Lonchura striata: one gene and its partners. The protein of the gene in region 2 interacts with the protein of the main gene of each other region in a pairwise test. Links are inferred from orthologs where the notes say so. Each region holds a gene or a part of one and is shown on either strand. Other genes may lie near its edges. The genes, in order: PRKAR2B, KIF5B and zinc finger and BTB domain-containing protein 8A.

What was found.
Region 1: the proteins of KIF5B (region 2) and PRKAR2B interact in binary tests that used the Homo sapiens proteins (3 or more experiments, as listed by UniProt). The two-hybrid records come from large-scale screens. The link is inferred for Lonchura striata from reciprocal best matches to the Homo sapiens genes KIF5B and PRKAR2B.
Region 3: the proteins of KIF5B (region 2) and zinc finger and BTB domain-containing protein 8A interact in binary tests that used the Homo sapiens proteins (3 or more experiments, as listed by UniProt). The two-hybrid records come from large-scale screens. The link is inferred for Lonchura striata from reciprocal best matches to the Homo sapiens genes KIF5B and ZBTB8A.

Annotation. Positions count from the first base shown.
Region 1 is NC_134607.1:59,472,855-59,483,849, reverse strand, and holds the start of PRKAR2B (cAMP-dependent protein kinase type II-beta regulatory subunit), read left to right. Parts: upstream 1-5,721; 5' UTR 5,722-5,772; coding exon 5,773-6,100; intron 6,101-10,995. UniProt on the Homo sapiens protein: Regulatory subunit of the cAMP-dependent protein kinases involved in cAMP signaling in cells. Type II regulatory chains mediate membrane association by binding to anchoring proteins, including the MAP2 kinase.
Region 2 is NC_134603.1:142,638,550-142,649,032, reverse strand, and holds the start of KIF5B (kinesin-1 heavy chain), read left to right. Parts: upstream 1-6,338; 5' UTR 6,339-6,550; coding exon 6,551-6,676; intron 6,677-10,483. UniProt on the Homo sapiens protein: Microtubule-dependent motor required for normal distribution of mitochondria and lysosomes. Can induce formation of neurite-like membrane protrusions in non-neuronal cells in a ZFYVE27-dependent manner.
Region 3 is NC_134628.1:949,027-959,815, forward strand, and holds zinc finger and BTB domain-containing protein 8A, read right to left. Parts: upstream 5,496-10,789; 5' UTR 5,267-5,495; coding exon 4,036-5,266; intron 3,482-4,035; coding exon 3,312-3,481; intron 2,645-3,311; coding exon 2,312-2,644; 3' UTR 1,272-2,311; downstream 1-1,271. UniProt on the Homo sapiens protein: May be involved in transcriptional regulation.

The DNA of each region.
Region 1 (10,995 bases), on a different chromosome or scaffold from region 2:
ACACCAGAAATTGGAGTAAAGCTGTTTTTCCATTCTGATCACCAGACTCTTCTAGAAGCACTGCCTTCCAAGACAGAGTCCTTCTGTTCTGTAGAAATCTCTTTCTTCTGAAGTCAAAGACTTAATAAAGAGCTTGTAGAGTATGATTTTCTTTAAATGGACAAGTCATCCAGATCATCCTATGCTTCCCCGAGCTCAGTGGTATCACTGTTCAACTGGGTTTTGTGTCATCTCAAAGTTACATCAGCAACATTTATACTTGCTCCCATGTGATTGCAGGAGGTGTTGAACAGAAGCAGCCTACAGTCAATTCTTGGGGAACTTCTCCATCTGATGATTATTTTCTGTCATTAGCTACTTGGAGAGATGTCTCTGTTACCCATTTAACAGGTTGTCTTGACAGTGCATAGTGCCATTTTTATAAAAAGTGTAGGGCATCAAACGAAATAAGATCCTCAAAATAGATGAAGTCTACTACATCTACACTTCCATTTTATTTCATTACTCTTAAAATGGGAAGGTTTACTTTTAATGACAAATTCAGTACTCACTATATCGACTTTAGAAACTCTAGGCACATTTTTCTGAAATTACAGGTGATTATGAGAGCCCAAACTGAGGCACATCAAAAGGAGCACTTTTCTAAGAGACAGTATCCTGTAGTTTCTGAATATCAAGGATGACAAACAACAGATTTCAATGGCAATCAACAGCTGTTCATTTACTGAATAGTAGCACTTGTAAACAGAACTTGTAACAAATCACAAAGCTCATATTCCCTGGAAAATAGTTTGGGTTTAAAAAGGACTTGGTGAGTGAAAAAGCAAGGGACTTGAGGTTAGAATATGTGATACTCTGCATTTCTTTTGAACATATTATCTCAGTAAATGAGGTGGATGGAACACTTGGATTCAGGACCAACATAAACCAACTAGAATTTGAATTGCTGATAATGTGATACTCCTCCTCCTGAGCCATGACTTCTGCTCTCTTCTCACGGAGAGCATGATGATTCATCTCAGCTCTAACAGTCATATAATTTCACTGACTACATAGCACTACAATGCCTAAAAGGTGATACAAGGGAGAGGAAATGAACACTTGTTCCTGGGTTAGCAGGTGCCATTTTGTGTGAGGAAACTCCTCAAACTGTGTATGTGGTTAATCTGATTGTGAATTGGTACTGAAAGTGGCAGGGACTCTTTCATTTACACTGCTTTGCTGCTATTCTGTTTCTTCAGGTGGATTCCTTCCACCCAACTTTCAAACTTGGCCCTTCTGTTTGCTCAGGGAAAACCTTCATTGACGTAAATAGCAATTTTACTTAAGTATGTAAGTGGGTATTGGTTCTTGCCATTCTAGGTTTACAGTAGGCAGTGGAGGAGTTAAGGGGTTTGAATCCACAGAACATAAGCACAGACAGAGTAAAGGGTATGAGATGAAGGAGATTCAATTGAAGGAAGAATCATGGGGAATATGTTAGAACTTGATTCATGCATCACAGGCACTAGTTTCTTATATTGTTTAAAGAACTGAACATTTTTCTGAAAAATGGATTTGGGCTTGGTAATGGATTTTGTAATACAATAATGGTGACATTCGAATGAGAATAGAAAAGTGTGAAACTATGGATCTACACAACTGCAAGTTTTGTTATTGCTGGAAAATTCATTGCTAAGTGATTGCTATTAAAAACAGTTTCAAAATTCTGCGAGCAAGATTTGCCTATTAAGCCAGAAGGACCTGAGTAGGAAAAAAAAAAGTCAATACATGTAATATTTTAAAGGTATTTTGGAAGATCAGAAATTGGTACATGATTATTCCTATGAACTGTGGTTGTTCTAAACTCACAAACCAGCTATCACTCAGTCAAGAGCCAGGAATAAAAAACATTACTGTATAGCTGATGAGATTTTGAAGCAAATATAAAACATGTTGGGATTTGAAGATGCCTTCTGACCAGCAGCTTTTTTGGCATGCAGTATGCAAAGTGTATATTTACTTAAAATTTCAAAAGCCTGGACAAAAGATTTGAGATATCACAAATCAATGATCTTTTAAACACGGGAAATTTAGGGAGTAACATCTCCCAAACACAAACATGAGTCTTTTCCTACTATCCTGCATTAGGCAGAGGGCCTGGCTTTGCCATGTGTTTCTCCAGTACAATATGAACTCTTTCCATGGAGAACCACTGTAGAAATGACTAGATTGCCAAATTGAGAGAGACTGTTACAGATGATGAGATCAGGATCTCTTCTTTCTGGGCTAGCTCTGCAGCAGGTCCAAGGACACAGTAAGAACAATCTCTCTTGCCTGACAGGATGTAACAAAGGGCAGATTTAAAAGCTGGTATTCCACTGGTGTGCTTTCTAAAGTTGCTTTCCTCAGGGGAGAAAGGGCTTTGCCCTGGCTTACACCCTGATGTTAAGTGTACACTTCTGCCCCTCTGAGCACCACCACAGCATCGCAGTTTAGCCGGGGTTCATCGGGAGATGGTTGTTGGAGAGCAGGTCTTGGGAAGCACTGGGGAAAAACATTCTTATCAGGCAAAACATTGAAAGCTGGCAGAAAAAAAAACAGGCTTGTAGTTGGATGCTGAATGGACTTTGTTAGGTCAAGTTTACTAAATTTACATCGACCTGGTAAAGACAAAGCCTGAAAGTCTGGCACTCATCTGTTCTGCACTGAGTTAATTGTCCTCCATGTGATCAGAAAATATCTCATCCTCTGAGCTCTGACAAAGTATTCCCAGCCACTGTCTGAAGCATGCTGTCTGGAATTGTCCTGTGGGAGACAACTGCTATTTCTCACCTGTTAGCTCTAATCACCTAGTTTCTCACTGCTGCAAGCCAGGTGAAGGGACAAGAACGACATGCAAAGCAGGTAAGCAGTATGTTATGAAAAGGGCATTTGTTGGCCAGGAGGAAAGGACATAACAAAGTCTTTATGTTATTTCCTTTGGAATTGTGAGGCGAATATTCTGCCTAATCCTTTTTCAGTACAGTAGGATTTCTGTAGGTTGTAAATTCTCTTTCTTTTCAAGAAGATATTTACAGCTGAATGAGATGGCACTCAAAAATTAGTAGTAGCTAATGAAACTCATTGGAGAGGTGTGAACCAATACTCTCACTATCTAACTGTTCACTCTGCTAGACATAACACATATTTTTGGCAGCTGTCTTCCTTACAAGGATTTAAAAGCAATTTAAATATCAATACAAGGTCTTTGGAACAGAAAGCATCTAAGGAAACTAGATGACACCAACTTGAACTACAAAGTTTCCTGCCATCCTTTGAGATACACAAACCTCAAGGTAAGTTTCACTAGACACAAATGTTTTGTGCTGTTTTGAAACCTTTTTTAGAAAGAAGCATTTTTTAGAGTTCTTCCACTTAGGAATCTCTTATTCAAATTATCTGAGTTTTACATAAAAGCATCAAAGGCTGGCTCTTGAGGATGTCTTCAGAGGAGTGATCTCATTTTAAGTCTGGGAGGATGAGAGTCTCTGACAAACTAGGGGAGTCCTTGATTAAATGGCGAAAGACACTATGCTACTGGTAAATTCCTAGAAAAAAAGACTGCCTTGTCTGGGTACAAGAAAACCTCAGGGATGATAACTCTTCTAACCTTGGAAGACTCCATTAAATGGAATATTATATGCTCACAGGACACCTAGTGCTTGGAAGGCACTAATTACTAACACTTCTCTTCCTGGGAGCTTCCTCAAAGCTTAGGTATGTCTCAGCTTGGTCACAAACAGATCAATCCTATCAGTGGTGTGAGAAGGTTTTTAAGCTCCCAAACTTGTGAACGAGGCAATCTGGTATTTCGAGGTAACCCACGCTCCAGACTAAGCTATGCACCTGTCCATGATGTACAGGTGCCAGCTCTCCTGCTGCACCTGATTCTCAACCATTTTAATGTGCTACATGCTGCAGCAGCAGGGCTTCCAGCAGGCAGGTGTGGTCAGGGCATGCCAGCACTGCAGCAGGGCATGGAGTGGGGGTGTGCTGGCAGCCCCCTGGACGCTGCAGCAGTTCTTGGAGCCTGATGATAGAGCAAGCTTCTGCAGTCCAGAGAGAACTCGTAGTCTGCCTCCAGACGACTTAGCTTGACTTTGAAGAGGTTCCTCAAGCAGGACGGTGCTAAACAACAGTGAATTTAACTTCAAAAAAGTACTTTATGCCTGCAGCATAAAGTGAAGCCACAAGATGTTGCCTGAAGGTATTCCACAGCTCAACTGGTAGAGATGTCTCCTGCCTGTTACAGGGCAGCAATATCACCCACGCAGGCATGGTTTACTCACTTCACTAATTTACCTGGTCTGTAACACTTTGAAGATCCAATCTGTGAACCAAGCTCCATTTGAAAATACATACACAATCAGAACTGGGTTCCATTTGGAAATTAATTGAACTTAAAACTGGCTTTGATATCCCTGCGTGAAAAGTGTCACAGAGATTGCTGTATTTTGCTGTCACCTTATTTTTTCGAGGTCAGGTCTTTCAGTATCTCGCTACTGCAAACTCACACTTGACTGCTTATCTTACCCTAAGCCCCTATGAAGCTCATTGCAAGGCCATTTGAAGAATGCTGAATGTTTAATGAAATCTATTCTCAAACAGCCATGTTGTCACAGCCTTTAGAGGGTTTAGCAGTTAATTTGCTTGATGCATAAAAATAAGACTCGAACAGATCTTTCTGGAACCCCAAAACGTTGGCCAATATTCAGAGGTGATAACAAAGGGGGGGGGGAAATGCAGCTATCAAGCATTCTATGGACTTCACTTTCAAGAAGCAGTTTAGTGAAGCATTGAAAAACATGGCACCCGTAATTGCTACTTACTCTACTTAAAACATTTAAGCTTCCTGGTGATGACAAGCAGCACCCACTTACCACTGTGCTAAGTATCTCTGCAGCATGGCTTGGAAGAGCGTCTATGCCGAGCGTTGGCATTCAGCAGTGTTTAAATTGGACTTCTTCCCCCATTTTTAAACAATTCTTTCTTTTTCCAGCTAAATTTTTCGTGGACCTGAAACAAACAGGATGTTCTTGCTTGCACCACATCACCCCTCCCAAACTAAATGATACAGATGAATGTAAATCGACAGCACTTGTATGCGTATGAATGATGTGGAGAAGAGCTTTAAGGTGGTGCATGGCCGTGAAAAAGCACAGCAGTGCACTGCGGTCCTTCCCTGAGCGGGGACACGTCCGCTCAGCGGGAATCCCCGCTGGTCGCGGGGCGGATGCCCGGACACCCCCGCAGGGAGACGGCGCTCACGGTTTGGGTCCCCGGCAGCCCGTGGGTGGCGGGGGCCGCGGTGCGCGGCGTGGCCGTGGCCCGGCAGGGCAGCCCGTGCGGGGGCAGGGATGCGGTGCCCTGCCCTGCCCTGCGCTGCCCGCCGCCCCGCCGGCTCCCGCGGCGGGCGGGCGGGGCGCGGCGGCCGCAGTCCCGGCGGGAGGTTGTCATGGTTTCCCGGGTCACATGCGCGCGGGTTCCCCGGCGCGGGGGGAGGCGCCGCCGCCGAGGCAGCCGGAGCCGCTGCCCCCCGCGGGCCCGCCCCCCGCCCGCTCCCACCTGCGCCGCCGCCCGCCCCTTCCCGCTGCCCACGGGCGAGCTGCCGGGCGCGCCTCGTCCCCCGGGCCGCCGACCCCCGGCCCTGGGCTCTCCCCCCCTCTCCTCCTCCTTCTCCTCCTTCTCCTCTCCCCTTCCCCTCACCCTCCCCCTTCCTGGCCGGGCTGCGCCCCCCCGGCCGGCCCCGGCATGAGCATCTCCATCCCGGCGGGGCTGACGGAGCTGCTGCAGGGCTTCACGGTAGAGGTGCTGCGGAGCCAGCCCGGGGACCTGCTGGAGTTTGCCCTCCAGTACTTCGGGCGCCTCAAGGAGGAGGCGGCGACGGCCAAGGCGGCGGCGGAGAAGGAGCCGAGCGGCCGCCGAGCGGGCACCGGCCATGACAGGGGCACTCAGCCGCCGCGCCGGGGCCCCCCCGACGCCCGCGGGGTCAACTTCGCCGAGGAGCCCATGCAGACCGACTCCGAGAGCGGCGAGGACGAACAGCCGCCGCCGCCGCCGCCGCCGCAGCAGTTCCCGGGTAAGGCTCCCCCACCTCGCCGGCCCGGGGGTGGGGGCGCGGGGGGCTCCGCGGCCGCCCGGGCTCGGTGCGCGGCCGCGGGGATGGGCTCGGGGCCGGGCCGCCCGCGGGTGCGGGGCCGCGGGGCCGCGGTGCGCGGGCACGGCAGCGGCGGCACCGCGGGCAGAGACCGCCCGCGCCGACAGCGAGCCCGCGGGAGGCTCCCCGTATCCCGCGGCAAACTTCAGCCTCCCGGGCTGTCCCCTGGGGCTCGGCGTGCGGGTATCACCGGCTGCGGCGCTGGAAGCGTATGAGCCTGGCATAGTCCAGCGAAGATCTATCCGTGTGTTTCCTTTTTATAGGAGCAGATCTGCATTCCGTGATTAGTGCAAGGGCATGTCTGCCTTAGAAAATACCTCCCGTGGGCATGTTGTTCACGCACTTGATTAAACGTTTTGCGTAGATGTACTTACATGTGTTTTAGAAAGTAGAGCACAATTTAAAACATAATTTCTTCCTGAAAGCCAGAGTTAAATTTTGTGCATTTAGAAGGGCCTGTGGAACAAGTGTTGCTGTGACAGCAAAGGACATTTGCAGTATCTTTGTGTTTGAAGGTAACACCGATCTACACGCAGCTAATGACACCTTATCTTTGTGTGGCTGACAGGTTTTATTTAGGGACTGTGCCAATCCATCTGCTGGTGTGGGTTATGGGACGGGTGGGAGCTGCCTCTGAAGGGTGCACAGTGCTTTGTCTTTGTGTCATGAGCAGGCTGACTGAAGGGACAGTCAGTAAGGTTAGATGGAGAAGAGGAAAGCGTCCGAGCATCTTTATTGTATTTTTTTGAGGATAGCTTGAGGCGTATCTTATCAGATCATCAAAGCAGTCATCCCTCCGAGTCGTGCTGGAGGTAGACTTACTTAGCAGAGTATGGAAGGCAGCTGTTTGCTAGTTGAATTTCAGTGCAGGTTTTGAAATGATGTCTTATGTGCCTTTCATCAGGAAATGTAGATAAACAAGTAGGTGTTTAAGAAATGGGTGAGTTTTCAAAATGCTTTGTGTTACCCCATAAGACAGTCGCCATTCTTCTCATCTGTTCTTTCCAGCTATACCCACATGTATTTAATGAGAAATTGAATCTGTCAATCAAGTTCTGCAATTTTAAACTGTAATGCTGATTCTGTGAGATTGGTAGAAATTTGAAAATTTGCTGTCTTTGAAAACTGAAATAATCATAATGTGGAAGAAAAAAATTATCGCATTTCACTAATACTAGATGTGGCCTTTCAAACATTAATTATTCTAACACCAAATCTCATTGCTAAATGGAAAACTGGAATGTTGTATGGAGGGAAGTACATAAAAGTAGTTTTATTTATTAATATGTATGTGTTACGTACCTGTAACTTTACAGGATGCTCTAAGAAGCTTTCTAAGCTTTTCAAATGAATACCAGTAATTAAGATTCTTTTGACAGTCTTTTTGTTGTGATTGTGAAGAGAAAAAGCTATTATTGCCAATATTCTCATTAAGGGACATGCTAGAATCTCTTAGTTTGACAAATTGATTTACTTGTTTGACAAAAACCCTTTAAAATGCCACATTTTTAAGCCTAATATATTTTGAGCATTTAATTGTATTATGGTTTGTAAATTCTGTCTGTTCAAATAATTGTTAATTAAAAGAAACAAAAAATGAAAATATTTGTGAAGCCATGTGAAGATTAATAAGAAGTAACTCATGGTAAATGATTATTAATAGTGTGCTTGTGTATATGTACATTGTGCAGGAGTGTGTATTTAAAATTCAAATTTTATGTCTGCCCTGAATATATTCTTCTAAGGTAACATAACAATGAATCCATTCAGCCTTTTGTTAATAACTGGAGGCATAAAGGCTTGTACTCAAATATTTGTTTAATGGGTTTAGATACCAATTTCAAAGCATGTTTCTTCTATGCTTTTGCTTTCTGTTTCTAGAAGTAGCAATTTTTAAGAACTGACGCTTGGGAGAAAGTTTTAAATTTTTTTTGCCTTTATGATTTATTAGACGACTTCCATATAGCAAATTTGCCCTGTTTGCATCCTTAGGAGAGGGCAATAAATTTAAAAAGTGGATAAGCAAATGCAAAATGAAAACCTCTGTTAAGGAGGTCAGGCCTGGTGGTGGTGGTATCTTTCCTTTGCTAAAGCCGTACATTTGAAATCTCAAACTGACAGTGTTCCTTAATTAATTCAATCAGAACATTGTTGAGCTCTCACTGTAAATGCTCCAAACTTTTATTTTCCTACCAAATGTTTTTAAGTACCTACAAGCTCTGCAGTTGAACTCTTTGTCAATATTAGTTTTGTCCTTGAAATGTATTTTGGAAGTGTATCCTGTTTCAGAAATGATGAGCTGAGGCATAAGCTGTGTTAAAAAGAAAAAACCCCTGTACTCAGGATTAAGAGTTATATGTGAACCTTGAATTAAAATCTGTTCAGGTCTTTATTGTGTCCATTACCTCGGCTGCAGAAATCACATAAAGGTAAAAGCAGTTACCTTGTCTGGAGGGAGAACTTTGTTGTATTGGTGTCATAGTTTTGAATTGACACCTGGAGTTAAGGTGACCTCAGAAATGACATTCTTTATGTTCAGAGCATTTAGATTATCCTCTTTGGAACACATGGTTTAATTTGGGAATGTTTTTCAGGTTTTCTAGTTGGTTTGTTTGGTTGGTTTTTTAAAAAAATATTTAATTGTCCTACATGGGTATATTGGCATTAATCAGTTACAACAACTAATTCCTACTCAAATAAATAGCAGACACTAAATTGAACAGGAAATATACATAAAAATGAGCCCTGTTTTAGAAAATATGTCTAACTTTTAGCAAGTCTGAATTGCATATTAAGATTTATTATATTGTGTTAGCAACATTTGAAAATGCTCATTAAATTATTTATTCTTTTTACAGTGACTATACTTTTCTTCTGACTTTACCACTTACATATTGATTTGCAACTTATTTTGATGGGCAATAGCCTATGTAATTTGTAACAGCTGTTTTAAAATGGTTGCCGTAGATAAAAATTTCATCTAGCCTTAATATGAATTAGTTGAAGAGTTTTTTGAGGTAACATTGCTGTTCCTTAAAGTCAAAAATTACAGTGCTGCATATATCATTTGGCACACCGTAGCCTCTGTTTACTTGATTTTTCTTTTGTTTTGTTTTACTTCAGTTTGTTTTGGTATCTTTTTCAGATAGTGGTGTATTTTAACAGGAAAATACTACAGCTGTCCCTCTCCTCCCCCGTGTACTTCTGTTGGTGTGTTGGTTGCTTTGGGTTCCTTCTTTGGAAACTTGAGCTAGAAAATGCAAGTCTGTATCTCAGCTTAACCCACTGATTGTGCCTAAATAATATGAGATCACTGTTTAGGTAAAACATGCATATTCTACCTTACAATACTAATTTTAAAGGCATGTCTTTATTTTAGTTCATTTATTCAGTCTGAAGTGCTTACAGATGTACTATTCATAGAAATTTTGAAATAATAGGTAAATTGTAGAAACCAGAAAAAACTTTGCACGCAACTACATTTGTGCCATGTGTACGTAATGGGCAGATCAGAGCAGTGGAAGGGCTCAGGAAGGACAAGGTAGCAATATAAAAATACATACAAGTTATAGTGGGATACCCTTAAATCAGGGGTTGTATAGAAAAGCATGTGATTTTCTTATAAATATATATATTCAAACTGAAATCTGTGGTATGATGGATAATGGCTGAAATCACTACCATCTGATATGTACTTAGCCAACATGAGAAATGAAGTTTTAGTAATTTCTACGGTCACTCTTTTGAAATACAGAAAGCAAGCAAGCATTATTTGTATGATTATAAGGACAACCCCAACTGGACCCAGGCTGGGGTGGATGCAATTTAGAAGAGAAGTTTCCAGCCACAGACCAGTCCCTTGGGAGCATGGCATTGTTGGAGCATTCCTTGGCAAGGCTTTGGGCCATATCTCCTTGCAATTTTCTAGACTATGCCTGCTGTCACTCAGAGAATAACGTGTAAATTAAGTGTTCAGGGTGGGTGTTTGAGAAGAAGATGGATTCTGTGAGGGAAAAGAATTCCAGATGCAAAAATTTGGTGCCTTGCTGGTCCAGTGGGCCTTGGTCAGGGGTTGGCTACTGGCTGCTATTCTCTGTTAGTGTACACAGTCACAAAAACATAAAGCTTTCTATCCTTGCTGTAAATCTTAAAAAAAAATTCAGATTTTCAAAATTACAGTTTTCAGTAATTTTGACAGGAGCAAATGAAAATATTTTCTTTCTGCGAACAGTTATTTTAGAGAGTAAACCCAAGCAAATTGGCAGTTGTTTGTGGTTTGTTTGGGTTTTTTTTAATTCCTTAATCTGACACAGGTGTTTTATTCAAGTTGAGAGATTTGTCATCAACAAACTTAGTTTGACAAAATTATAAGCAACTGGAAATGTGAAGTTGTAATATATACCATTTATATACCACTTTTTTGGTAGGATTTTGACTCCCTTTCAGACATGTATCTACTTGTGATTATAGATGAAAGAATGCTTTTGACACAGCCACTTAAAAAACATAGGTATGTTTATATTAATAATTTAGTTGAAATGATAGCAGCCTCCACTCAAAAGTATTTATGCATCCCTGCTCAAAATTAAGCATGCATGAGTGGAAGTGCCTCTGCTGGCTAATATTTTGTTGAAGTTTGGTAAAGTGTATTAAAGAGAAGCAGGAGAAAATTCCAAAGACCTGTGGACAGAAAGGTAGTACAACTATACCAAAAACATTTGAATTTGTCTTCAGCTTCTTTTTCGCTAAAGAATCAACGTGGAGATAATTTTGGCTGACTGTTCAGCTTGGAAAAAGAGAACAGCATTAATTCAGGA
Region 2 (10,483 bases):
AAAGAGCTCTTGCAGAAATCACAGGTTTTTGCATGGTTCTTCTGTGTTCCCAAACTTCTGGTTTCTGCTTTGCCTCTTGTACCCCAACTACTTTTCTTGTTTCCTTCTGTAAATTCAAAACAGTCCCGCTCCTTGCCTTCAGCTCTGGCTCTCAGATCAAACAGACTGAAAAAGCAAAGGCTGCTAAACCCCCTTGCCAAAACACGGAGCAAGATCATTTGTTCACTGATTCACACACAAGAACAGACAGCAGTGGGCATGAGCTGGGACATTTTAATTTCAATAAAAGATTCTGAAGGACTCTAAAAAATATGTTCATATTATGTTTTTCCTAAGTGTCAGCTTTGGTGTTTTGACAATCAAAATCGGAGCCCTACAAAAGTCTCCCCACCAGATTTCAGTCTTTAGGTTCTCTTTTATAATTCCCACATTAAAGGATTCTACATTTTCCTTTTGCAACAATGTAAAACAATTTCTAAATTAATTTAAAAAAAAATAAATTATCAATTTTTGCACAACTATAAAAAACTATAGCTTCAGGCAGGCACCCAGAAAGCTAAGATTCAGTGGTCCGTTTAGTAAGGGTTATAAACAATGAAAGCAACTAAGAATAGAGATTTATGATAGGATGTTCTACACAACATATGCTGAATGCTTTTAATGGTTAAGAATATAAACAAGGTCCACAAGTGTGTTTCTTCTTCAAAGAGAATTGGAGTTAATGCTTTAGGTAGTGAGCAGACAGAAATTTTTGCATTAATTTGCACAAATTAGCTGAAATAAACATCTAAAATGTGACATTATTCCCAGAGTTTTCTTTTACTTTTAATTAGTCTATCGCTATCAGAATATTAAATATGATCTTGCTGATTAGGAACAAATTAGAGGGTTTTCGGGTTTTATGCATTTCCAGCTAAAAAGTGGAATAAAACTGATTTTTTAAATTAATTACATTTTTCCCAAGAAGAAGTTACCACATATCAGCAGGAACACTCTCAACATATTTCACACTAGCTCACCTAAAATCCATAACTTGATTTAGACAGGAGATCCATTCCATATCGTATTATTTGCTGGAATGAAAAAAAGCTTTTTTGCAACCAGATAAGAGCTTAAAATGATCTAGTTGGACTCCAACAGTTTCTAAGGCCATTGAACTTCATTCACCAACCTTCTAATCTCAATAAACCAGTTAGTGAATTTCTCAAGCTGAGCTGACCAGACACATTCTCTTGGTAAAGAGACTTAAAATATATTTATATTATTTAAGATATATTTGCACAAGCTGCTTGAGCCATAACACTTTGTTCATTTTAATTACACAGTTTCAGTGTCAGGTGATGTTGCTAGACTTCATAAGTCATCTTAATAACCTTTATTTACAGAGTGTGCTGCAAACAACCAAGAATTTTGTTTGAGGTACACTGTATCTGGCAGATTAATCTCTCTTTTGTCCTGCAAATCCACTTGCAAATTTGGAAGAAATTTGACCCAAAATGCACCTCAAATTCTCAGAAGTAATGTAATATATTTTCCCAGCACACTGCAAATTAAAATGAGAAGAGTACTTGTGTTTGCATAAAGCACTCTGAATGTCAGCAAGTGCTGTCAACCGATGAATCTCAGAATTTAATCCTTTAAAGGGGCATGAGGAAGCAGCTTTAATTTGCTTCTCCACAAACACCCGGTTTAAAGATTTATTCAAATATGTAATGTTCTTTTAAAACCAAATCAAGATCACTTTTGCTCTGCTAGAACAATTTCGATGGTTAATTACATAATTATCCCGATATAGCTTCCCTGTAAGGCTTAGGTTTGCCAATTTGCTTTGCTTTGCAGGTTTTTATTGCTGGGAAAGACTGAAGATCTGAAAGAGCCATAAGTCATAAAAGAATTTGCAGAGGTTTATTGCACAGTTCATAAATGGAAAGAAACATGGTTAGTGAACTAACAACACAAATTCCTCACATAAATTGCTTTAATAAAACATGTTAGTCTTTACTAAGAAATTTTACTAAACTTATTGTCAGCTACAACTGAGATATAGATTTTTTTTCTCATTATATTACTTTTAAAGATAGTCTCTTATCCTAAGTGTCAAAAAATGTATGCTATAGACATTACATAACAACATAGAAGACAGCAAATATATTCTTAATTGGCAAAGAAAGTGCATTCTGTTATTACCACAAAATGGGAAACTTTCCAGGATGCTTGGTCTCTGCCATGTTCTCAGGAGACCACATCTTTAAACACAAGTCCTCAAGGCTGCTCTTCTGACACATCTTGGCGCCAGTAGAGATAACACAGTGCCCTCTTTGAGCACACGGCTTTGTTGTGTCAGCCTTTAAGTAGGTCATGCCAAGGAGCAGTTGCTATTTTGAACAGATCAGAGAAGAGAAACTTCATGGCAGTCCCTGACAGGGATCTGAGAGCACACGAGTGGTTCAGCAGAGCACCTTCACCAAGAGCTCCCACAGCTGGGATGGGACACCATCAGCCTCTTCTCCTATGGGCTCACACAGGACAGCTTCAGAGTGGCCAGTTCCTACTACAGAGTTCACACATGCTGACATCTTTTGTTTCAACATAGTTAAAACGAATCATTATCTACTCATGTGTCTGTGTTGTCCTTGTGGAATGTCTGCTCTGTCAAACATTCAACAGGTAGGTAAGCAAGGCCAAGCACCTATTTTCTTGACAATCATGTAATCACGAGGTTTCTTTTTTGACTGAGATGTTCTAACATCGGGCACTACATGTCAGTAAATGCAGATAAAGGTACATTCCTTCTGCTTACGGATAACAAGAACTAGAAGTTTCTTCAATACATTAGGGGAAATGATATTCAGCAGGTGAAATGTACTTCTGTGAGTAATAATCACAAAGTTGTTTATTATGCAGCTAATATTGCTTTTTCCTGATGTACAGAAGTAAATTAATTTAAAAAGTAGTAAATATTCAGGTTCCTTTCATAAAAATAATAACCTTCTGTCACAGGAAATCTTTGATGATTCAAATCCTACAGCTGCATAAGAATATTGCTAGCCATAAGCTTGTGAATAATCCCAGAAATAGATGAGATAGAAGCATTAATACATCTTGCTGCTTGAGATACAATGTAATAATATCTAACATAGCAACCAACTAAAACAGGTTTTCTGACATGTAAAACCTAGTAACAATTATGTTTAAAGCATTTTATTGAAATCTGTAGACAGATGTCTGTGTATATCTCATATGCTAGATGTTGTGGACTAGCACTGCACCTTCTACAGACTGAGCTTATATCTTGCTTTTTCCAGACAACTATTTCCACATGTGCTCATAGGTGTGGACACATCATTGTTGCTGCCCTGAATAAGACAGCACAGTCCCGCTGCATTTTTAATCACAGTGGAAAAATAAACTTGTTACAACATGAACTCAGTTTAGAAGACATAGCTTACCTCATAAGATAAACTAAGCACAGAAATATTTTTTGCATTACTCTGTGAAAAGAACCTATAAGTGCAACTAGATTATTAGGTTATTTTTCTGTCATGTGGAGCAGTTTTGAAGTGTTTGCCTTGCACACCTATCCTAAGTAAAAACACATCACTAAAATCCCTAAACTGAACATCACTAAAATCCCTAAACTGAGAAGTCTTAAAAATGGGGGATGGCTGATTACAGATGGTCCCTGTTAAAATTTACAGTAGTTTCTCCTTTTTTATAATGAAAAATGAGTATTTTTAAGTACACTTAAAACTGCTCTTCTGAGTAATTCTGGCTTACTAAAATACACTAACTTAAGAGAAAGGCTCCCTATTCTTTTTCCATTTTTAAAAATTAACTTCAAGGCTATTTGAAAAATTACCAGTACAAATTATGATTTCTGTCAAGAAACTGGCTGAACTCAGCCAAGCTGTGAGTTTGTACTCTGTTCCAATCTGAAAGTTCATGCTTGGATGAAAGAGGCACAGTTGTAAAAGTGTGAGATTTTTGGGGCTCTCTGTTAGAATTGTTTACCTGATGCTTTTGTCTAGATACAGTCCCTAAGTTTTGGTCAACTACATTTAGAGCCCCTATAATAAATATGTAAACAAAACTTGCAATAAATTAAGCTTAAAAAAATTCCTGTCCAGATTTTCTTTTTTTTTTTCATTTGGGGTGAAAAAGTGGTGAGAGTCTCCATCCTGGGGGCGACATAATGAGCTGTGAGCTGTGTGTGTTCTGATCCCACTCGCTGGGTTCCTGCTCCAGGATGCACACAGGCAACGAAGCTCATGGGCACACTGGCATCTGTGAACACCTCATGGGTGGGAATTTTCTCTCTTTTAGCTAAAAGAGGAAAAGAAATGTAAACAAACAAACTAAAAAACCCCAAATATCATAGGTTCCTATCTCAACCACCTGCTTTAAGCCTTTACCTCACACTCAGCCCCTAAGGTTTATCACACATACACTGCTGTCCCCAGCAGTGCCATGCCCTGCTGGGGTATGTCTGACCTGTCCAACACCAGCTGCCAGCGGAGCTGAGGTGGCAATGCAGATCGGTGTCTGACATGGCCATGTCACCTGTCCAACACCAGCCACCAGCGGAGCTGACGGAGCTGAGGTGGCAATGCAGATCGGTGTCCGACATGGCCATGTCACCTGTCTGACACCAGCTGCCAGCAGAGCTGAGGTGGCAATGCAGATCAGTGTCCGACATGGCCATGTCACCTGTCCGACACCAGCTGCCAGCGGAGCTGAGGTGGCAATGCAGATCAGTGTCCGACATGGCCATGTCACCTGTCCGACACCAGCTGCCAGCAGAGCTGAGGTGGCAGCACAGATTGGTGTCCAGCATGGCCATGTCACCTGTCCGACACCAGCCGCCAGCGGAGCTGAGGTGGCAATGCAGATCAGTGTCCGACATGGCCATGTCACCTGTCCGACACCAGCTGCCAGCAGAGCTGAGGTGGCAATGCAGATCAGTGTCCGACATGGCCATGTCACCTGTCCGACACCAGCTGCCAGCAGAGCTGAGGTGGCAATGCGGATCTGTGCCCCACATGGCCATGTCACCTGTCCGACACCAGCCACCAGCGGAGCTGAGGTGGCAATGCGGATCTGTGCCCCACATGGCCATGTCACCTGTCCGACACCAGCTGCCAGCGGAGCTGAGGTGGCAATGCGGATCTGTGCCCCACATGGCCATGTCACCTGTCCAACACCAGCCACCAGCGAAGCTGAGGTGGCAATGCAGATCAGTGTCCGACATGGCCATGTCACCTGTCCGACACCAGCTGCCAGCGGAGCTGAGGTGGCAATGCGGATCTGTGCCCCACATGGCCATGTCACCTGTCCGACACCAGCCACCAGCGGAGCTGAGGTGGCAATGCGGATCTGTGCCCCACATGGCCATGTCACCTGTCTGACACCAGCTGCCAGCGGAGCTGAGGTGGCAGTGCAGATCGGTGCCCGACATGGCCATGTCACCTGTCTGACACCAGCTGCCAGCGGAGCTGAGGTGGCAGTGCAGATCGGTGCCCGACACTCCTCACTAGGGCGGCAGCGGCCTCATCCCTGCAGCCCTCTGCCCATCACCTGCCTGAGGGAGCTGGGGGTGATTAGCCTTCAGAAAAGGAGGCTCAGGCGTGATGTTTTTGCTCTCTAAAACTGCCTGAAAGGAGGCTGCAGCCAGGTGGGGGTCAGCCTCTTTTCCCAGGCAACCAGCAACAGGGCCACAGGACTTAGCCTTAAGATGGCCCAAGGGAGGTTCAGGTTACACAAAAATAATTGTTAGACATTTGAATGGGCTGCTCAAGGAGGCTGTGGTGGCTGTCCCTGGATGTATTTAAGACTGGATGTGGCATTTAGTTGATATACATTGTACTGGATGACCTCAGGGCTTTTCCAGCCTGATTCTGTGTGGATGATGCCAGGCTGTGCAGGAACGTGGAGGAGTCACCATTCCTGGAGGAGTTTAAGAGGCATCTGGACTGGCGCTGGGTGATATGGTTTGGTGCTTTAGGGGCCACAGGTAGTGCTGTGTTGACAGTTGGACTTGATGACCTTAAGTGTCTCTTCCAACCTTGATGGTTCCATGATTCCATGATTCTATAATTCTATGATCCGATGAGTTTACGGCCCCATGACCCCAGCGGCACCGCGACTCCAGGCGCTGCCATGGCGCCCCGCCCGCCTGAGGCAACCCCGCCCCTGCCCGCGCCCTCGGCGGCCCCGCGGGCACCGCCCCGCCCGGGGGCGGAGCCGCGCCTGCGCACAGGGCGGGGCTGGGGCGGGGCTGGTGCTGCGGTGGGTGACGTCACCGCCCGCCCCTCCGGCGGGGCGGGGCGGGAGCCGCGGCCGCAGCCGCCATGGCCGGTGCCATGTTGGGGAGGAAGTGAGAGCGGGAGGCGGCGGCGGCGGCCAGGAAGGAGCCCTTCCCTTTTCCCTCCTGCCGGGGCGGGCGCGGCTTTCCCGGCCACGGCGGCTTGCGAGACCCCCCCGGTGCGGGCGGTGCGGCGGCGGCAGCTGGCGGCGGCGGAGCTGAGCGCCCCGGAGGCGGCGGCGGCCTAAGATGGCGGACCCGGCGGAGTGTAACATCAAAGTGATGTGTCGCTTCAGGCCCCTCAACGAGTCCGAAGTGGCCCGAGGCGACAAGTACATCGCTAAGTTCCAGGGCGAGGACACCGTCGTCATCGCGGTGAGGGCCCGCCCGGGCGGGAGAGGCGGGAAGCGCCGGGGGAGGGAGGGAGGGAGGGAGGGGGCGGCCGGGGTCGGCGGGGTCACGCCGCGGGGATGGGCGCGCTGTGGGGCGGGAGGGCTCGGAGCGCCCGCGGGCGGGGACCCTCGGGGCGGGGAGCGGCCTCCTTGGAGACCGAGGCGAAGGGGAAAGGGGGCAGGGACGGCTGCGGGCGGGGTGAGCCGGTCCGGGTATGGGGGGCGGTGGGGCAGGTCGGGAGACCTTTGACAAAGGCGCAAGTGCCGAGGTGCGGAGTGAGGGCGAGTCCCGCAGTGTCCGCCGGCCGGGCGCTGCCCGGGCCGGCCGGCCGTGCTGTGAGATGCTAAATGCACGCGTGGGGGCTGCCGCCCGATCGCTGTCTGCGGAGAGTTTGGGCAAGAAATGCGGAACGGCAGTGCAGGCTCCAGAGCTGTACATCGGTCTTCAGCTGATAGCTTCTTTTTTGTTGTTGTTAAATCAGAATAAACAGACCATTTGCCTTACTGCATGTTCCTAAGTGTATTTTAAGTGGAGTCTCCTTGCAAGGTCTCCTGTTAAAAACATTATGGATGTTGTAGGGGAAAAGATAATCCTTTCCTTTTTCTCCAGTGAATCATAGCTAGCTACAAAGTGGAGCTAGAATATAAAAATAAAGTGCAGTTGTTTGTTGCCTGGTTTGGTTGATGTTGTACAAACACACTTTAGCCCCAATGTTTGTTTTGTTTTTGTTAACTTTTAATTTGTGTTTTCGTGTAAATATATTTCATGAGAAACTGCTGATTCTTGCTGAAAGTAACTTAGAGACCAGTTATCTGTCTAAAAATTTTAGGGGTTTATGTTTTGTTTTTTGAGGCTACCAATAATAGCTTTTTTTGCACAGTATCTGAAGCTGCAGGAAGCAATAGAGGCAATTTAATAAAATACTTTTTTTGTAATAGGATTTACTAAATACTAGTGCTTTAGTCTGATAATATTCAGCTGAATTTGCCAATAAAATATGGAATTCCATGAGTCTGGAGTGACAAGAACAATAGCATTCTTGTGAAATGAGGTAATTTGGGTTTATTTCAGCTGGCAACTTACTATCTTGGAGTACATCACTTCTTCCTGAGGTTGTACAGGTAAACTCAGAGGAAGGAAGCAATCCTGGAAAATGGAAAATATAACTTGAGTGAATAATCTCACTTTCATCAGTAAATACCCATTCATTGTGACACTGCATAGTCTGTTTATAATCCACAGTTCATTGTAGAAACCCTAATGTGTTCTAACTTAAAAATAAATTTTCTTCAGTAGCCCTCGTATAAATGAAAGCTTATATTTCTAAAATATTCTTTAGGTGCATTTTTAAAATATCTAAAATGTAGAGGTAAATAAATATCTGAATATCTAAAATGTGCAGAGGTAGTTCTGTATCTGAGTAGAACAATTTGACATTATGTTCCTGAGGGATCAGGTGGGCTTTCTGTTCAGAATTGATGTTTAGTGTTGCCAGCTGTACCTTGGTGATTTCACCTTGGAAAAAATCACAACAGATTTCCTAGTTGTCCTGGATCCAGGACTTGCCATGTCTAACTTGGGGGAAGATGCCCCCAAAATTATTAAATGGGGTAGCAGTGACAGTATTTGTGTCTTGTTTCACAAAATTTGAATAAAGGTTTGATAATCTCTGATTTTGTATTTGTATAATGATGGCTATAGGACAAGATTGATATACTCAAAATTTTGACTTGAATCTCTAAAACTGTTGACAATAACTTGTGTTTGGTGCTTTTGTTTTCAATAGCTTGAGTGAGTTTTTACAAATTTAGAGAGCCTCTAACCTGGGCCTGTAGTCAGGCACCACTTCTTTCTGTGTGTTGCAGAATTGCCCAAGGGAGGATAACAGAAGCAGTGCTCCTGAAACAGTGTCTGAAAGGCTTCCTCCATAAGCTGTGTGTGTGGTTACCTCAGCTCTTTGGTTTCTGCCCTTGTTGCTGCCTGTTGAGCAGTAATTGAGCCACTTTTGGTTTTTTATAGCTGCTTCCCTCAGCTGCCTGAAGGACTTGCACCTCCCGTGGGTGCCTGGCTCGGGGCTGGAGCAGTGGAGGCTGCCTTAATAATCCTGGGAGTTGCCTGTGATGGTCGATGGGAGGGGAAGACTGGGAGGCAGCAGAGCTGATCCCAGGCTGCAGGTTTGACTCCTCTGGAGGAGGGTGGGGAGGAAAATCAGTGACTATAGCCAAACCCTCCTCCTTCCTTGATTCCCCTGTCATCTCTGAGCTAGCTGTCTTCCCTTCTTTTCCTAGCTCCTGCAAAATTAATGTCATCTTTGTCTTTCTGGACAAGTGAGTCATTTTGATCTGTGTTAGATAAAATAAAAGTTTTAACTGTAGCTAGTGTGTAACAGCAGTTTTAGGGGACATAATGGTGTTGGTCTGCTTTAAAGAGCAGATTCTGAAACACAGTATTTTCTTTCCACAGGATGAAACTTTTTAACTAGTAAAGGGCTTTTAATTTTTTAATTGCAGGTGACTTCTTTCTATCTCAATAGTATATTAATTATTTTTTCCTAATGGCTTCTTCTGTTAATTAAATACAAGGATTTTGTTAAAACAGATTACTCATTATATGACTTTTATGTTAAACATTAGAAATGTACCTGTATGTGAAAATTGATAGCAATTTGCTAGTGGATTTCAGGCTTTTGAGTAAGATACAACAAGGAGGAAGAGCAGTTTAATATGGGATTATGTCCTTTGTTTTATCAAACATAAAGCTGCTTGCAACTGAGTAGCTTTAGAATTCTGCATAATGTATCTGAACATCTTTAAATAACTTTCTATATCTAGTCTTGTTAATCTTAAAACTACCCAAAAGATACATTACTGAATACAGTGACACTCTGGGGTTTGGAACTGAAGCCTGAACCAAAAGCAGCACTCCCCAGTGGCTGCAGTGATGAGGCCTTGTGGATGTGCACAGAAATGGGTAGTGTGCCATTGTTGTCCAAAAGGATTTTGGTAATGATAATTGTCCGTTCCTCATTTGTATGGCTTTCAGGAAAGAATCATGCCTACTTATCTATTTTCATATTTAAGATGTACCTCTGTAATCCTGGGAAGAGCTTGAGACATTTGGCTTTCTTTTTTCATTGTCTTTTAAACTAGTGTTGGATTGTAAATGACACAAGGCTAGGTTAGAAAGTTGTTAGAATCAGGTAATGAAAGTCACTTGGTACGACTGCAGCTTTTAGTAGTATGTTTTCCAAAAGAAAAATGCTGAAGACTGTACTGGACTGTATAAATTCAAGAAATTAATTACCTTATTTAAAGAAAGCAGTGTTTAATTAGAGGAAAAAAAGGCATCAGGTCTATAGTGGAACTTTAAATATGAATCAGGAATTGCAATCTGTAGCTGAAACAATACTATTCTTCCAATGTTTCTCTCTATTTCTTTTTCTTAATTTATTCCATTAAATGTTGAGTAACAAAGGTGCTTTTCAGGTGACAGTGGTGTGATGATTTAACAGGAATATTCCGATGTCCAGGAATCTGTAAAGGCAGAGCTTTTCTCCCTGGCTGCAGAGCCACTTGCGTAGAAACACCTTGCTCATATTTGCCTAAGTTTTCTGTCCTGAATTTCACTGAAATTCAGTGACTGTTTTTATAAACAGCAGTACTTGCTTTTCTCTTCAGAAGACACTTTCTACTAAAGAAAAATTTTGGCTGAAACTTTTATTCAAAAAATATTCTGTTTCTGTTCTGGAAATTGAGTTTCTAGTCACAGTGTTAAATCACATGTTTTAGT
Region 3 (10,789 bases), on a different chromosome or scaffold from region 2:
GAAGGAAACAAAGACCAAAATTAAGAAACAAATGTAAAAATGGTAACTTTTAAAAAACAGGAAAACATCATTGACTTGTGGGAATCACAGCCTTGAGCTAAACTCCAAGCTTAATATACTTTAAAAATGACTACAGATATCTAGCTATACTAATGAGAATAACAACATATAAATCCAGAAAAAAGCCCTTATTTCCCCAGCAAATCAACAATTAATCTGCCTGTGTTTAAAAAGTCTTCCTATGGAGGGATTGTTCCATTTGCCCATTTAGAGCCACTTCAGATCTCGTTCTGAAGCATCTGCTCCTCAGTATTGTTAGATTTATGATCTCTAATTAAATTGAGTATTGATCCAAAAATCCCTTTGCTTCTAAAAACACCCCCACTATTAAGAAACACTTAATAGTCTGACCTTTGCAGTTGGCAGTTAAGATTTCAGGCCTGCAGAGAACATTTTATTTTCCCCTCCCCTTCATCCATCCCCAAACAAACACAGACCAATTCCAGACACATTTTTACCCTGGGACTGATACCTGTGATTTGTTGTCAAACTGTTTAATGGACAGGGAAAGGGAAACATCTATGAAATTTGAGCAAAGTTACTCCATATTCTTTGAAATATTTCTTGTTCTTGTGTGTTTGATTAAATCCAGGTTGTTCATGAATATTTCTTAGCCATTTAATAACAGGCATTTTAGGAGTTTAAAAGCTCCAAGAAATTAAATGTCTGTTTTCACATCAAGTCCATTTTTAGGCTGCTGACCAAGTATCATCCATAAAATCAAATGTAAGTCTTGTTTAAGATGTTTTCATCTGAGTCATCACAAAGATTTTTAAGTCACCCCTCCTCAAACCTAAGCCAGTAAATTGTAATTTTTGTAGGAACAATAAAACACCATTTCTTGTGTTCTTGGGATGCTTCCCATGGAGAGGAGGGTGCTTAATGCTTACACTGAATTTAGCATGAAGTTCTCAAGTTGTCATTTGTTGGTCACCTGCAGCCTGGAATGAAAATGCTGCACTCTGGTCATGATGATACAAGAAAGTTATACAGTTTTTACACAACTAAAAATAAAATAGTGACTTTTAAGCTGTCCCTGGGAAAGATTATATAGTATATATACATATATACATATGTATATATGTATATGGGATTGTTGTGTAAGAAACCCCGGGGTTCAGCCAAACATGCTTACAAAGCTGTAAAAAAGAAAAAAATAGATATCATTTTCTAACTCTACAGCCATTGAGTTCCATGATCCAAAGACACTCAGGTGTGTCCAAGGAATGCAGAGCAGCAGGAGCATCTCCTGCTCCTCTCCTGCTGACAGTGCTGGGTAAGAGAATCTCACTAAGCAGCAAAACCAAGCTTATTTTGTTAGAAAAGTAAAATTTCCTCACCATTACTCATCTCTGTAGCCTAATTGTGGGTGAAATGACACAAATATGGTGTCTAGAACTTCCAGTACATCTTGGTCTCACTGGTACAGACTGGAAAATATCCTGAGCTGGAGGGGACCCACAAGGATCACCCAAATTCAACTCCTGGCCCTGCACCCCAACAATCCCACCATGTCTGGGCACTTTTGAAAGGTCTCAAAATATTAAAAAAGAGTAATTTAATAGTGCTTATTAAAACAGCCCAGTCTGATATCCTAATTTTGAGACTAAAACATCTACTGTCATCAATTGATGATCCAAATTTTTAACTGTTTTGTCTCTGATGTGTTAAGCATTAAGATTCACCTCATCCTAATAAATTTTGCAGAAGTCCTTTTCCAGACAAAAGTGCCAAAACATTTTAAATGCTCTTTCTTAATTAATTGCCTTTTTCCTTATCATAACATGAAGATTTCATGAAATTTCATGGAAGATTCTCTTCACTTCTGAACACTCAAGAGAGGTTGTCTGGTGTGGGGGGTTTTATACTTCGTTTATAACCCAATGATATATAAACCCCACCTCTCTACAAGTGTGAAAAATGGGCAATTTACAATAATCTGTGATTTTTAAAAAGTATTTAGACCTCCTTGCAAGGGGCTTTGAGACGTGCCCCATTCCCTCTATAAAAATTATCCACATAATACTGCAGTTTCTTTGTTGATGCATAATTTCAGGATGGATTTTTTTTTTTAACCAAACAACGCACGGGGGTTCTGCTAACAAACCAGCATGGCCTCAATGACGTGTCCATAAATACATGCAAGTCTGGACCTGTTCAACCACATGTCTCTGTAGGATCAGCTGGCAGAGGGCATTTGGCCACAGTACATCCTCCCTCTTCCACGGAATTCCCAATCCTTTTCTTCCAACTACCTAATATTTGGTTTCACTTCCTTCTCCTCCGCTTCATCCTCGCTGTCATCCACTTGCTGGATGACCAAGTCGGTCGAGCCGTCCTCCACGATCTCCACGTCGGATCTGTTGTCGTCCCCGTAGTGCCACCTGGAATCCTTGTCCCCATCCTGCGGGAACTCCAGAGGCGCCTCCGCCTCCAAGTCAATGCGGATGCTGTCGATGCCCGCCTCGGCCAGGCACTCGTTGCACAGTCTGTAGCGCCGCGTGCCCTCCTGCACCACCTGGCCCGTCAGCTCGGTGACGTGGCGCTTGCACTTCCTGCAGATGGGCTTGCACGCCTGGTGGATCTGGGGAAATCGAGAAGGGATGGATTTGTAAAACACCAATGGGTTTTTTGGGAGATGGCAAAAATCAAATCGCAGCGTTGCTGTCGCTATAGGACACGTGAAAGCACGACGCGAGCCACCTGCTATTTCCAAGGTAAAGAAGAAAGTTTATTCTCTGACTCCGACTTTTATACTTTCCCAAAGGTGACATTGGGTTGGAGAGTGAATGGGCCACCTCTCCAAACACATTGGACAAACCACTAGTACATCAAGTTTCTCCACCCTCATAAAAGAATGTAAACAATATGTTGTTTACAGAAATTGTGTGGGAAAGTTCTCCAACAGAATGTAAATTCAGAAGGCTTTAGAAAATCCTAAGAATCAGGGTGACATGTTGCCTTAATTTCAGAGACATCAAACGCTGAACTGCACCAGCCCCAGCACAGTAATTGCCCACTGGAGCTCTCACAGGCTGCAGAGAGCAGAACCTCTGCAAGCCATCAATTACCCAACAAATTCCTCCTCTTTCCTGCAAATTATCCTTCAATTCGACTGCAGCCAAACCAAATTAATGTTCCATTCCCCTCTTCTTTACAGGAGTCATTAGATCAACCAGATACACTCACACTGTGTTTAATTAGCCAGATTTACATGTTAAATAAATCATGCAGTTGCTAAAAATACTCACAGTTCGAAAATGGCTGCTGAGGTGATCCAGCCTGCTGAATCTCTTGCCACACGCCTCGCAGGGGTACGGCCGCTCTCCCGTGTGACAGCGAAGGTGACGCTTGAGGTCGGCTTTTCTCTTCACCACGTGGCTGCAGAATGGACACTTGAACCTCATCCTGGACAGGTCATCTGTCAGAAAATAATGGGATTTAAAAAAAAAAGTCAAAATCGTGTCATGTAATGCTCTAGGAAAAAGTGTTTTATGAGGAGAATAGCAGGTCATTTATTAAAATATCCACGGGTTGTTTCAAACACAAAGGATTTGTGTTTGTCTGTAGATTACACAGGAGTGGAACAAAGGAGGAGTGGGCCATTGGCTGTATTAACACAGACCTGGTAAAGCCAGCCTGGACAGAGCCTGGAGCAACCAGGGATAGTGGGAGGTGTCCCTGCCCATGGCAGGGAGTGGAGCAAGATGAGCTTTAAGGTCCTTTCCAACCCAAAGTATTCTGTGATTTTATGAAAATGAACTTAAAAATATCCCAACTTATACTTATTTTTAAATTCAATACCCCAGGTACTTCAAGAACTCAGAATGATTTCAAGGAAATGAGTTCAAACTTTCTAAGCATACACTTCTGGACAATACAGCTGTCTTTTTGACAGTTGTGCTTTACTATTGAGTAAGACCTATTTTCTCAGAGGCAGAAGAGAGGATTCACAGGTGTCTAAACCCCACTCACCTTCAGCCCAGTTCCCCATGACTCCCAGGATGGAGGGCATGCTCCCGTACTGCTCCTCAGCTTTGGAGGATTTGGATTTGCTGGAGGAGCGGGGTGACTCGTGCTCCTGCTGCGACACAGCCAAGCCCCTGGGCATCACCTCAGCCCCTTGGCCAAACTGGTAGCCCACGTGAGGAGCTTCCACCTCCGTGTCGATGTGGACCTGCTCCTCGGGCGGCGCGGCGTGGCCGGCGGGCTCGGCAGCCCTGTCCTCCAGCTTGCTGGATTTATAGTGGGGGATGTCTGAAGGCTGCTGCAGCCCCAGGTGCCGGGATTTCTTGATGGAATCCTGCCGCTGCTCGTGTTTAGACAGCTGCTGCTGGGCATTTCTTTGAGAGCTGGGGTAATAGTTGAAATTGCTCCAAGTGTTGCCGCCCATCATACAAGTCCCAGGGTCTGGGCTGGAGTGGGAATGCGGGGGGCTGCTCTCTGCCCTCCACCCTCCGCTGTACACGCAGGATCGGTCCACGCCGTTGGAGCTGACATCTTTGTCTGACAGGCTGAAGTAGCGATCCTTCTCCTTCTCACTGATGTCCAGCGACGACTTGATGAAGGTTTTACACACGCTGATCACATCGGTCATCTGCAGATAGCTGGCAGCCGACATGACTTCGATCACATTCTGACCAGTGAGAGACAGTTTGCCTGAATACACAAAATCCAGGATAACTGTGAAGGTGTCAGGAGAAAAGGCCTGGAAAGTGGCTGTCGTGGACTGACTCGTCTCCTTCGAGCTCTGCGAAAGGAGCATTTTGAAGTAGCCGCTGCTGGCAAACAGCACATTGCGATGGGCTTTGAAGACTTTGCCCTCCACCAGGATGTTGCAGTCACAGAACAAGTCCTGCCTGCGCTGCTCATTTAGTTGCTGCAAGAGGTGAAACTGGTGAGAAGAAATCTCCATCCCAGAAAAGGTGAAATGAAACGTTCCTCTAAAAAAAATGAAGAAAATTATTTCACTCTCGACTTCAGTGCTGTGTAACTCAGCCAAACATGTCAGACCCAATTTTACAGCTATCTTTACAAACAATAGCATTTCTGTAAATCTACAAATATATTTAAACCACGATATGCTCAACCATAGATTCATTTCCCAACAGAACAAGAGGGATGGCGAAGCCAAGACCGCGTTATTTGGCACGGACGGCTGTGCTAGAGCCGGCAGCAAATCCATTCCCGGGATGCGGGGCAGCATGCGGGGCTGGACTCGTGCCGCCCGCTGGAGCTGCGCAGCCTTCAGGCAGCTCCGGGAAGACGAGGAGCCAAGAGCAGCTGCGGCTGCGACCGCGGCCGTGCCTCGAACCCGCGATTCCGTCTCGAACCCGCGATTCCGCCTCGAACCCGCGATTCCGCCTCGAACCCGCGATTCCGCCTCTCCCCGCTCCGCCCGGGCCCCGCTTCGGGCGGAAGGCACGGCGGCAGCGCCCCGGCCTCCCCGGCATTGGCCGCGGCCGCCGTCACTCACCCGCCCGGCCGGTCCCCGGCAGCCCGGGACGCCCGACGGCGCCGGAGCCGCCCGGCCCCGCTCCCACCGCGGGACCGCCGCGCCCGCCTGCCCCGGCCGGCTGCGCGCTCCCCTCCGCCCGCACGGAGCGCCCCGGCCCGGCCGTGCCGCCCGCGGGAACGGAGCCGCGGCTGCCGCTCCGCCAGAGCCCCCCGTGTCCCCGCCCGGTGCCCGGTGCCCGGTGCCCAGCGCCCGGTGCCGCTCCCGTCCCGCCGCCCGCAGCCGCTTCCGCCGGCAGCGCCTCCGCCGCCCGCCCCGCGCAGCCCCTTTGTGTCCGCGCCCGGGGCTGCAAATGGCGCCCGCCGGGGACGCGGCAGCGCCGGCACCGGGCGGCACCGAGCGGTTCCCGGCGGCTCCGGGCGGCACCGAGCGGCTCCGAGCGGTTCCCGGCGGCTCCGGGCGGCCCGAAGCGCCCGCGGCCGCTGCGGAGCCCCGCGCCCTCCTCGCAGCCGGGCTGGCTGCGGGGCCCGTTCCGCCCCAATCCCAGCGCCCTGCCCGGCCTACCGGCGTGCGGGAGCCGCCACTCACCGGCGGGGTGCTGCGGGCGGCTGCCGCCGAGCCGGGGGGAGCGGGCGGTGGCTGCGGGATCCCCGGCTCCGCCTCGGGGCTCGCCGTGCCTGCAGGCGACGCGCCGCTGCTCCCGCAGCCCCGAGCCCTGCGAGCCCGAACGGGAGAGAAACAAAAGGTATTTGCTGACGTGGGCGTTGGACAGAGACGCCCGAGGGCTGGGGACACAATTAAAGGGGCAACGCACCGATTGCAGCCGCAGCCCAGCGCCTGCCGCGGCCCCCGCGCCCCGCGGCCGCCGCCGCTCGCCGCTTCCCACACCCACATGCTGCCCGGGAGGGGATGGGATGCCCTAGATGCCTCCTTTTCACACCTTTATCTATAGCAGGGCCCTCGATGACCCAAATCCTTCTCCTTTCTCTTGCGGCGTCCTCCAAAGGAGATGTGACATCTTCTTGTCTCTGTTGGTGTCTGTTATCTTCTGAAGAAAGCATGGCTGAAAGCGAGACCTGAACCTCTCACCTTCTCTCCCTCGAAGTTTAGTGTCTTTCCCCTTCCTCTTCTTACCACCAGGGTCTTTTCTGTGTTTTGGACGCCCTAGTTACTTTTCATAAATATTTATTTTCCCCATGGAAACCGTTCTTCCCTAACCGAGCCCTTGGTGGCATTTTTGGCCTTCTCTTCTCTAACTTCAGACATTCCACCTTGAAACAATTTCTCTTTCTTTGCCCATTGTAGCAAAATTGGCTAAAGAATTTATCTAAAGATAACAACCCAAAGATTATTTCCTTTGATCATTAGAGCCATTCTCCCACTACATCATATACATTGTCATCTCTAATTTCTACATTCATATTTTGTAGATATATATGTATATGTTACAATATTATTTTCCATCTTAATTCCTCCTTTTTCATAAACTCTCTTTGTTTTGTAGATTCTCCTTTCAAACCCAGGCCGTGCTCTTAAAATCTTCATGAGACCCATTCTGCTTCTGTGAGATTCTGCTCTAAATCAACCATTCTTGAACATGAAACAACTGGAATTCAAACCAGCTTCTCACAGCTCTTACCACTGAGAAATAAAGAATGCAATCAACTAAACCATCAGATTATTTAATATATAAACCAGAACATTTATTTCTAGTATCAGGTTTTAATACCATTGAAATGAATTCCTTTAAAGTTTATTTTTGCCTGTCAAGCCAAGTAAGTAGCACCTCTTTTTATTTAATGTGGAATCACAGAATCCCAGGATGGTTTGGGCTGGAAAGGATCTTAAAGATCATGGGCAGGGACACCATGTTTCTCAATATTCTATAAATGTTTTTCCACACTTCTGCCCAAATTATTCCATCAGCTGAAAGCTTCCTTTGGAAAAGAATTATCTGGAGGTATTTGTTCTGTTTGACTTGCCTGGGTGGTGCTTTCACTCCTCTGTCAGTGGGGTTTTATATCAATGTCAACAGGAGCTCGAGGGTTCTCCTTCTGCCAGGAACAGGCAAGAGAATTTAAAAAATATGGGGGGAAATGTCAATGTTATCTGGAGTGGCTTAATTAGAATTTTTAAAGATGCTACGAGTGCTTTCCTCAGAGCACCTCCTGCTCACTGCTGTGCTGTGGATCCAGGAACAGCCACAGAACAAACTTTGGTTTCCTCATCCACGGGGCTGATTTCATCTTGTTGTGCACAATAATGCATCCCAAACAATCCCAGACATCAGAGAGGTTTTTTAGGTTTTGTTTCTAACTTTTAGAACCGATTTCAGCTGAGAAAGTTCCACTTGAGATGCTGATTTCATCTTGCTGTGCACAATAATGCATCCCAAACAATCCCAGACATCAGAGAGGTTTTTTAGGTTTTATTTCTAAATTTTAGAGCAAATTTCAGCTGAGAAAGTTCCACTTGAGATGCTGTTTGGAGAGTTTATCCAGAGGGAATGTGCTTGGCAGCAGTGTGAAGGAGCTGCTCCTCACAGCCAGAATGTAGAGTCTGCTCTTCAGAGAACAATCACACTAAAAAAAATTAATATTTTTCTTGCTCACAGAAAAATTAATGTACATTTCTCCTTGGGTTTGGTAACCAAATAGGATTAACTGTAATAATATATAATGGTATAGTGTAATGTATTATAATAGTTTAATTAACTGTGGCACCAATTTAAAGATTGCAGTTCTCTTCAAAATAAACATTCCTCAGGAATCACAGCCTTCAGTTATGGTGCATCTTACAACTTGAATTATCCAGGGATATTTTTTACCAAGGAAAACTCAAGAGCTTATACTAGAACAACTTAAGGAACTGTTCAAAGCCTAGAAATTAATCAGGCATGGGATTACAACTTTCATGTGATCACTGCCACCTTAGATTGGGGTTGTCTTCATTTGCATCATCATTCCTCTCCTCACCTTTCCCAAGGACCAAACCAGGAGTGTTGAATCACCCGGGGTTTGAGTTCCACCTTTGTGCTCAAGCTCAAATCCAAATCTCAAATACAAATACAAATCTTGAGTACAAATCTGAGCCTAGAAGCACAAATCCAAATCTCAAATCCAAATCTCAAATCCAAATCTCGAGTACAAATCCAAATCTTGAGTAGAAATCCAAATCTCGAGTACAAATCTGAGCCTAGAAGCACAAATCCAAATCCCAAATCCAAATCTCGAGTAGAAATCTGAATCTCGAGTAGAAATCCAAATGTAGAAGCACAAATCCAAATCCAGAAGCACAAATCCAAATCTCCAAGCACAAATCCCAATCTAGAAGCACAAGTCCAAATCTCGAGTACAAATCCAAATTTCAAGTACAAGTCCAAATCTCAAATACAAATCCAATCTAGAAGCACAAATCGAAATCTCGAGTATAAAACCAAATCTCCAGTACAAATCCATGGAGCCTCCAGGGCACCAGGAGATTTTTCCTTTTTCCAAATGAGCAGGAAATTGGAATGTCCTGTCCTAAACCCAGGGAGGAATCTTCCCTTCTTCCCTCTGGCAGCAAGGCCAGTTTAGGGAAAGCCTGATCCTAATCCTGATCCAGCAGGACAATTAAAACCCTCCTTAAACTCTTTATTTTCAGCTGTTTCTCAGAACACCCAACTGTCCCACATTTGCATCCAGCTCATGTTGATGACTTAGGGCTGGATCCAAACAATTCTCCTCCCCAAATCATTCCCAAGCTTTTTGACACCCTCAGCTGCCCTGCTCTCCTCCTCCTTCCCCCACAAAGAATCCTTTTCACCAAGGGTGGAGATAACCACCCTCATCCCCTCTGAGTTCTTCAGCATCTCAATCTTTCATGAGAAAAAAAATTAAAAAAAAAAACAAAAAAAAGGGAAATTTGTCTACTTGCAGCAAGATTTTTTTGTCAAATATTGGATATAACACAAAATTTTCTGGAAAGGATATTTGGGATGTTGTCCTCCTCACATGTATTTCCTCCTAGCTGGGATCAGTGTCTGCTTCCTAGCAAGAAAAATGAGAAGTTTTAAAAGGAGTTTAAAAAGTTGAATTAACATAAAACTACAAGACTGTTAAAAAAAAGCCAGTATTAATAATATAAAATATTTTCTAAAAGTCTCACTTGGCTGGGGTTTACGTGAACAGAATCCTTTTAGTCTTTTCCTTCCAAAAACCTGATTTTTCTTGCAAACTAGCTGTCCCCAAAAATGGATATATTAATTTTTAAGCCAAATTAATGGAATGGAAATAATTATTTAATTTTAATGCCAGAAATTGAAACGTGAGCCTTCAATCTAGACACTCTCAGGTTTACTCAGTCAACATGGGAACAGTAAAAAAAAATCAAAGCAACCCTCTCAGAGAGTTTTATTTTCTAGACAATCAAAAAACTCCAGAATGTTCCAAGATCCACAAATATAGTTCAGTCACTTCCACAAATAAGGTTCGGTTTATAAGAATTTGTCATTGTTACTGGACCAAAGGACTTCAGTTATGAAACTGTCTTACAAAACATCAGGGAATTCAACGACCACATTTGGAAGATTTACAAGGGCTTCGCACCAAGAGGTTAAATGCACTACAAACACCAGTGCAGCATGTATTCCTTCAGTGAAATACAGTGCATTTCTGTGCAAAAATACATTAAAATGTGTATTCCTAAACAAAGTCAAGTACAACGAGCTAAGTTTTAAGATACGTCATCTTCGCGGCCTTTAAAAACCTTTGAGAAAGAGATTCTATTAGAATAACTCCCCTAAAAACATGGTTTTTGATTCTTCCTCAAGCACCACAGGAAGGTTTTGTTTTTTTTAAACAGCCAACATCATTTTCTCAAAGCTTGTAGAGGCTGGATCTACAAATGGAAGATTTCAGGAAAAAAAACATCCAAAAAACAAAGTGGAAAGCACAAGCAAACGGATTTACATGAACACCCCGGGTCACAAGAATGTGGATAAATAAACTCCATCCTCTTCTACATCCAAAGGCTGAAAAGACTCCACGGAAAAAAAAAAAAAAAACAAAACAAAGGCAGCACAAAATGACAATTTAACAGGAAACACCGAGTTTGGTGGAACTTTCCCTGTGGAAAAGCCTCCCCCCGCCCGCCCCGGACCCCTGACAGCTCCATTCTCTAGGCACAAACACACAAGGACAAATCTCTAAGACCAAAAACAGCAGGGTGAAGGAGAAGGTCTCTGCAGATATTCCTGCAAAGGGAATATCCCTTCCAAAGGGTTCATTTTCT